Linked DNA regions of Tribolium castaneum. The protein of the gene in region 2 purifies or fractionates together with the protein of the main gene of each other region. This does not show direct contact. Links are inferred from orthologs where the notes say so. Each region holds a gene or a part of one and is shown on either strand. Other genes may lie near its edges. The genes, in order: IFT43 and Oseg6.

Evidence for each region.
Region 1: the proteins of Oseg6 (region 2) and IFT43 purify together in Homo sapiens (affinity purification with mass spectrometry; 3 studies listed by BioGRID and IntAct, counting the BioPlex papers as one, with this or other methods). This does not show direct contact. The link is inferred for Tribolium castaneum from reciprocal best matches to the Homo sapiens genes WDR19 and IFT43.

The regions. Positions count from the first base shown.
Region 1 is NC_087394.1:35,543,488-35,547,419, reverse strand, and holds the start of IFT43 (intraflagellar transport protein 43 homolog), read right to left. Parts: upstream 2,337-3,932; 5' UTR 2,233-2,336; coding exon 2,191-2,232; intron 2,146-2,190; coding exon 1,997-2,145; intron 1,950-1,996; coding exon 1,923-1,949; intron 1,868-1,922; coding exon 1,754-1,867; intron 1,700-1,753; coding exon 1,510-1,699; 3' UTR 1,447-1,509; intron 1-1,446. Other genes in the region: TBC1 domain family member 12, read right to left, coding at 3,589-3,776, 3,862-3,932. UniProt on the Homo sapiens protein: As a component of IFT complex A (IFT-A), a complex required for retrograde ciliary transport and entry into cilia of G protein-coupled receptors (GPCRs), it is involved in ciliogenesis.
Region 2 is NC_087402.1:3,490,247-3,493,457, forward strand, and holds the end of Oseg6 (WD repeat-containing protein 19), read right to left. Parts: coding exon 3,137-3,211; intron 3,094-3,136; coding exon 2,713-3,093; intron 2,667-2,712; coding exon 1,444-2,666; intron 1,395-1,443; coding exon 1,096-1,394; intron 1,044-1,095; coding exon 967-1,043; intron 919-966; coding exon 816-918; 3' UTR 665-815; downstream 1-664. UniProt on the Homo sapiens protein: As component of the IFT complex A (IFT-A), a complex required for retrograde ciliary transport and entry into cilia of G protein-coupled receptors (GPCRs), it is involved in cilia function and/or assembly.

The DNA.
Region 1 (3,932 bases), on a different chromosome or scaffold from region 2:
AAGAGATATACAACGGATACAGAACTACACACTTTGGAATGTGAGAGGCGAGACACACCTCATAATTTGTAAACGAATTGATTCGGTTGCGTTTTTACAAAACTTTGTGAAAACTGTATGGAAAAACCACATACTTAATTTCGTTGTTGTTTTTGTGCAAGAGACGTTGCAAATTTTTACGTACAATCCATTTATTGATAGAATTTTGAATCTGACCCACACTCCCGGATATTTTCCGAACAAATTGCAAAATTTGCATGGTTACAACCTCAGAGTCGGTTTTTTCATAAACTTCCCTCTTGTAAACAAATCGGACAACAAGTGGATAGGGAGAGACTACAATGTTTTGGAAATGGTCACAGAAAAGCTAAACTCAACGTTCCAAATTATCGAACCACCTGAAAATACGCACTACCAAGGGTGTTACAACGATATTTTAAACGGGCTGACAGATTTTTGCTTCGTTAGTCATTTCAGAGGCCCTCATGCGTACGAAAACGCAGAATTTACGTACCCCCATGAAATCAATGGTTTGGCAATTTTGTTGCCGTTTAACGAAACGTCTAGTTCTGCCACTGTTATCCTGTTCGAGGTGATTCCCATGATACTTTTTTTAGTGGTAATTGTAACAGTTTCAATTACGTCACTATTGGGCGAAAGTAATTTCCGAAAATTGCTTCTTGTGACAGTGTTATACATTTATTCGAGTCTTTTGGGTTACCCCTTTCCCAACCTGAATAAGAAACGTTGCAGTGCAAAAATACAAATTTGTGTTTTTATTTTTGGCTCAATTATCTTCAGAACGGCATTTCAGTGTTTCCTGATTACTAATTTCATGACAGCAAATCCGAGTAATCAAATAAATTCGGTTGAGGAATTAGAGCAAAGCCAAATACAAATTTACATTTCGCATCCTTTGGCTAACCGAATTTCCGAAGAGGACAGTCTTCGCAAACGTTTTATTTATCTCGATAATAGGAAAAAAAGGACCGAGATGATCTACAATGATTTGAACACGTCTGGAGCTTATGGCTTGTCGTGGAGTTCGGCAAAAAGTATCGAACTTATGATGAGAAATGAACATAAGCGAACTGTCTTTTATGTAATGAGAGAAGTTTTAGTGCCGAGTCATAGTACGTATATTTTTAAGAAACATTCCCCTTATTTGGACAAAATCAGCGAGTGGTTGTTACGAGAACAGCAATACAAGGTGGTTAAGGACGTTCCAAAATATAATTATGATAGTTTTTCGTCTGATAATGAAAACGTTTTAAAATTCCATCACCTCAAACATGTTTTCTGGTTTCTGGCGACTGGTCTCGGAGTCAGTTTTCTAATATTTGTCACAGAAATACTGACTAAGGCTTTTTTTAACAACGTACATTTATATTTAGGCACTTATTGTAAAATATATAATGAATAAAATTAATTTAAAAGTGCTCTGACCTGCAAAATGTGTGCATAAATACATCCTTGTGGAAAAAAAATGTAAAAAAAGTTACGATGAAGTCATTGTTTCGTAAGGTCTTGATACAATGACTCCATAGTCCACACTTCCGTACATCTTTGAACATCTTTCTCTGGATAAAGTCTGCTTGTTAAAATAGACAAGTCTACATCTCCAATATTTCCAAAATTTGGTTGGCCTGTTTCAAACTGACTATCCAGTTCTTTATAAGTTGATTCTTTCACAGTTATGCTACACGAGAATAATCAAATTAAATAATTAACATTTTCCTACTGTTTTACTCACTTAGGGACCTTTACATCAGGCAAATTAAGTGGATCATCGGCAATATCATCAATGTCAGGTATTACTGGAATATCATCCTCAGAATCTTGTGGTTTTTCATTTTGAAAGCGTTCTCTAACGTTATTTAATAATAATTTTACCAAAATATTACTTCAAAGTGCACACTTACTGCTCAATTATATTTGATCCTTTCACCCTAAAAGTTTGTGAGCACTTCTCACTTGCGATTTCAATAAAACTTACTTTGCAGATTTTACGCCCTCATCAGCCCATCCCCCAGTTTTCCTAGTTCTTATAGGCACTTCTGGTGGCGTTTTTTTGGTTGAACTTTGTGGCTGATCTTCTGGACTTGCAGGAGCATTGCTTGCCCGCCGTCCGTGTTTAGTAGCAGACTAACCTATAGTTAAATAATCAGTTTTCAAAAACATAAAACTTACTTTCTTATTTGGAAGTAAGTCTATGTCTTCGTCCCAATTCATGCTAGATTTGTTTGTATTCAACAAAAATCAATTAATTTACAAGTTGGGTTAGAATAAACATTAAACAGCCACCATGATAACCAATGACACCAACATTAAAAACTAAAATGTCTCAATGTTAAAACTTTTATTGGGCGACTGCTTTTTTAGTCCAAATAAATAAGGTACAGTCAGGTACATTTCCTGTTTTATTTTTTATAAAATGTACATATCAATTCAATATCTTAATTTCCATTGTATACGAATAAAAAAAATAATCTTACTTAAATGTTAACAATACAAACAGTTCATAAATCATAATCATGCCTGTAACTTTAAAAGAAGCGAATATCTACAAGATCCCTAAAAGAACAAATGTCATTTTACAAATGTCATATTATTTTAGTCACTTGCTATCGATAAATTATTTAATAAATTATGCATATTATCTTAAAATTACAAAAAATAAAATGAAGCATTTTCATAGATACAAGTTGTTTCAGCGTTTTTATATACATACATACTCGTATAAGCCGTACCAAAGAATGACCGTTTTTACATCCTAGATCCTTACTGGAGTCTAGATATAATGGTTCATAAAAATTAGTTAAAGTTAATTATCAGAAAAAGGTGTAAAAACGGTATATCCTCTGTACGACTTTACCACTGCTAAAATAAATTCAGGAGTTTGCATTAAATTTTTTATATTGTACAGATGAACCATATAATTATTGCTACGATGAGACACACAACAAAAACTTACTGCAAACTTCCTATTGAAAACTTTAAAATCACAATTACTTTTAATTTTTTTAATTATTCAGACAGCCAACAAGGAAATTACATTAAGGATGGCCGTTCTACAACACCAAATTGAGAAATGTTAAAATCTTTACCAACCTTAACACAATGTCGCCAACAATGGATTTATCATAATTTTACACAGCCTTTGACTAAAATGTAACTCTGTTAAATATGAACATTACATATATAAGTTTATCTAAAAAAAAGTTTAAAACCATCTTTAAAAATGACAAAAATTTGTTTTCGTAATTACACATAGTATCAAACAAAGACAATGGCAAGTTAGAGAAGATAAAGAGTAAACGATACTTTCAAGCGTAATTTATCGTTTGTTAAAAAGTATATTCACCTGAAACAGTCAGAAAATGCATAAGCACCTTCAACGAGATTCTGTAATTATGTAACTGGACGGAAATAAATATGATATAATTATACTGCAAAACTGCATTTCAAGCTAAAAACTAACATACAAATCTGTTTTCCTTTCATCTAGTTCAAGTATTACTTAATTGAGTTTCTTTCACAAAACCAACACCTAAATAAATATCTCTTATAAAAACAATTGGAATTTTATTACCTGACAGAAAGGCTATATTTATCAACAATTTGGCAAAAGTTTTGCTTTCCTATACTTGTCGTAACCGCTTGTATGCTTCTGAATAACTGATCTGACGACAAATCGTCAGGTAAACGCGTAAGGAACTGTGCTCCGTGCAAAAAATCCATAGTTATTAGAATATCTTGATTTAAATGAAGAATACCTGAAACAAGCAGGAGGCGAAACGAGACTCAGTTTATTAAATAAAATTAATTATTTGTGTGGATAAATTTAAAAACTCAACTCACCTAACGCAGTTCTGAATATAAATTCGAATCCATCCCTTAAAAAAATATCCCACACTCTGCAAGCCACATCT
Region 2 (3,211 bases):
ACATTATCTACATATTTGTTGCTACAGATTTTTTTGCTATTGTTAAGTAGTTATTGGATTTCAAGAGGGCAAACAAGAGTTGGACATAAAAGTTTTATTCTGAAAAAATACAACCTATCGTGCGAAGTTATTTAAAAAGAATAATAATTTTTAAAAATGGCATTAAACGGAAATACACATTTATTATTCCATTCTTGTAACTGAATAAAAAAGACGACTTGTTGGTATAGTATTAGTACGTATTAATATTTTTTTTAATAAAAAAATATTTTTGATCAATGATAATATAACTAAATGCTGAAGACTACTATTTTCTAGCAAATAATTAGGTATTTGTGATCCTACTAGGGATGACCGGAAAAAAAAACTTTGAATTGTTGATTTCTTATAAGATGTTATGCAACCAATATTACACGTGTGCAGATTGTGGACCATATCAGTCGCTTTAGAGGCGATTTCAAAAAAATGAGTACTACAGACGATTCTGCGTCCAAATTTCATTATGAAATTATATTTTAAGAGAAAAAATATCGTGTGTAAATTTTTATGGATCGATAAAACGCTGGAAGCATTGAACTACTGGTACTTAACAAACGCAATCGTTTGTCCGTGTAGTGTTTTTTTAGAGGTGGTGGAAACTTTGAAGCATGTGAAAAAAACACAATTTTCTTTCATTTTTTATTTCACAATTCAACAATAGTCTATTGCACTAAAAAATGGACGGATAGTTTCATTCGCTAAAATCACTTCTTGCTAAAATCTAATTGTACTAAAATAAATAAATAAATAATACTCCAATCACGAGATCAAAAAAGTTATTCAACGTTCAAATACGGCTTAGGATCGTCAATTTTGGGTAACCGGCGAGAATCAACCTTCTCCGAACACATGGGACAGGAATCTTCACTATCAAGAATCCTGAAAAACAATTCAAAAATACATCATTTTAATTCACAGTTATTTTACTCAATAAACTGCGACCGCAAAGCCGGGAAATCACACTCAGGACAAGCGGTCAAGTCCGTTGTAACAATATGGCGGCCCTACAACCCCACAATAAATAATAATAAATAATAATTAAAATGCCACAATTACCGTAACAACACAAAACGGGATATTATTTTTACAACCGTTACAATTCGTCTCCGTCTCGGGCAACAAATTCTCGCAGTACGGACACGGCGTCAGGGGCTCCACGGGGTCACCGCCCCCGTCCCCGGCCTTCCCCGACTTGGGCGGCTTCCGCACCACCGCCTCAATTTTCTTCGCGTATTTGGCATCGACATTTTTCCTGTACTCGGGATTCATCAACATCGTCGCGTATTTAAAAGCGGCATGTTTGAGCCCCGCCCGGTGACACTCTATAACCGTGGACGTTAAAATAGGAACTTTATCTACGGACAAATGAAACAGTCGCAAAACTAGCCGCTTTTGTGCACTCACGGGACGGAAACTTCGATATGTTGTTGGCCACCCTGATCAGCATTCGGGCCCCTTTCAGGTGGTCGCCCCTCTTGACATGCAGCCGCACCAGGATGTAACTGTGCAGTAGCATAAGATTGGCTTGCATTTCGTTGGGGACTTTGATTCCGTTCTGCTTCAGCTCTTGGTACATTGCGAATAAAACATCGTGGGCGTTCCGGTAATTACCATTGATTTGCTCCTCGTTTGCGATAATGAGGGCCGACTTTGACGCCTCCTTGTATTGCTTCCGCGCCATGTACAGACGGAATAGGTATTTCGGGTCCTTTGGCAGGCCGTCCGACTCGCCCAGAAGAAATTCGATCAGTTGGGACGACAGTGCCTCGTTTTTTGAGGACGCCACAACGTCTATTGCTGCAGTTATAGCTTCGTTTTCCTTCGAATTCGATTTGGCGGCCTTGAGGAGGTGTTTCATGGCCTTGGCATATTCCTTAGCGTGAAACCAGTAAATCCCCGCCAGTAAATTGTTTCGTTCATTCTCAAAATGCGTAGCAATGCTGTTAAAATCGTGCGGTCTTAACTCATCCGGTGCCAAGGTATTGAGCAAAATCTCGCCGTAAAGTTGCATTTTGCCGTGCTTTCGGGCCAAATCAAACGCCTCCTCGTTACATTTCGACATGACGAGGAATTTGATGGCAGAAGTGTAGTCGTTTAATTTTTGGAAAAATTTCGCTACGAGTTTGGCGCCTTCCGTACTCTTGGTCTCTTGGACCAGCTCAACGGCGATTTCAGGGTTGTTCAGGTGTTCCAGTTGGAGTCGTATCACGGAATCGTAGTCCTTGGCTGTGTAATACGCCCGGACTGCCTCCTCATACTTACCTTCGTTTTCTTTCGCAACAGCGTACTGAAGATGTATTTTATTCGAGGTGATTTTGGGCAACAGCTCGCCGATTTTCTGCCAATTTCTCAGCTTGATGTAGTTCAAAGCGGCCCGATCGTAATTCTGACACTTTTCAAACAAGTTTGCAGCCTCATTTAAGTGTTTGTTTTTTTCGAGAATCTCGGCACACTCTTTCAACAGTTGTTTGTTGTCCAATTCTAACGCTATGCTGATGCCGTGTCGCGTGTTATTACAATGTAGGGCGGTTCTCGCGATTCCGGCCTTGCAAATAAACGTATGTTCGGGGCTTAAATCCTCCTGAAGCCCCTTTTCGTAATGAATATGCGCTTCGGAGTAGTTCCCTCTAAACACGTCGTTATTTCAATAAAAGACAAGAGAAAAAAAATTACGTGAATTCGAGCTGTTGGGCGTATTCGCGTGAAATCAGCGCGATCTGTTCCGGGGCCATTTTTTTCGCCAGTTGCAACGCTTGGTCCCACTGGAGGAGATCCCGTCTCATTTCTAGCGCAGCCACTGGATAACTCGAACCCATGAACCAGTCTTGAGCCAAATCGAAATCGTTCAAAAACATCGCAACGTAACCGCATAATAATTTATGGTCTTCGACGCCGGCGATGCTCTCCAAAGACCACACCATGGAGACGTCGTCCAGGAGTTTAAATACCCGAATTGCCAAGTCTATTTCCAAGTGTTTCATCGCTTCAACTGCGAGTTTTCGCCACAATTCCTCCGACTTGAGCGTCTCGCAAGTGGTCCAAGCGGCCGAAAATCTATATAAAGTTATTAACAAATAGAACACGACTGGGTGGTTACCTATACAATGCGATCTGTTTGTTAAAATTGGTTTCTTGGATCGTTTGGTCATGTTCGTTAACGCCGATTTGAGGC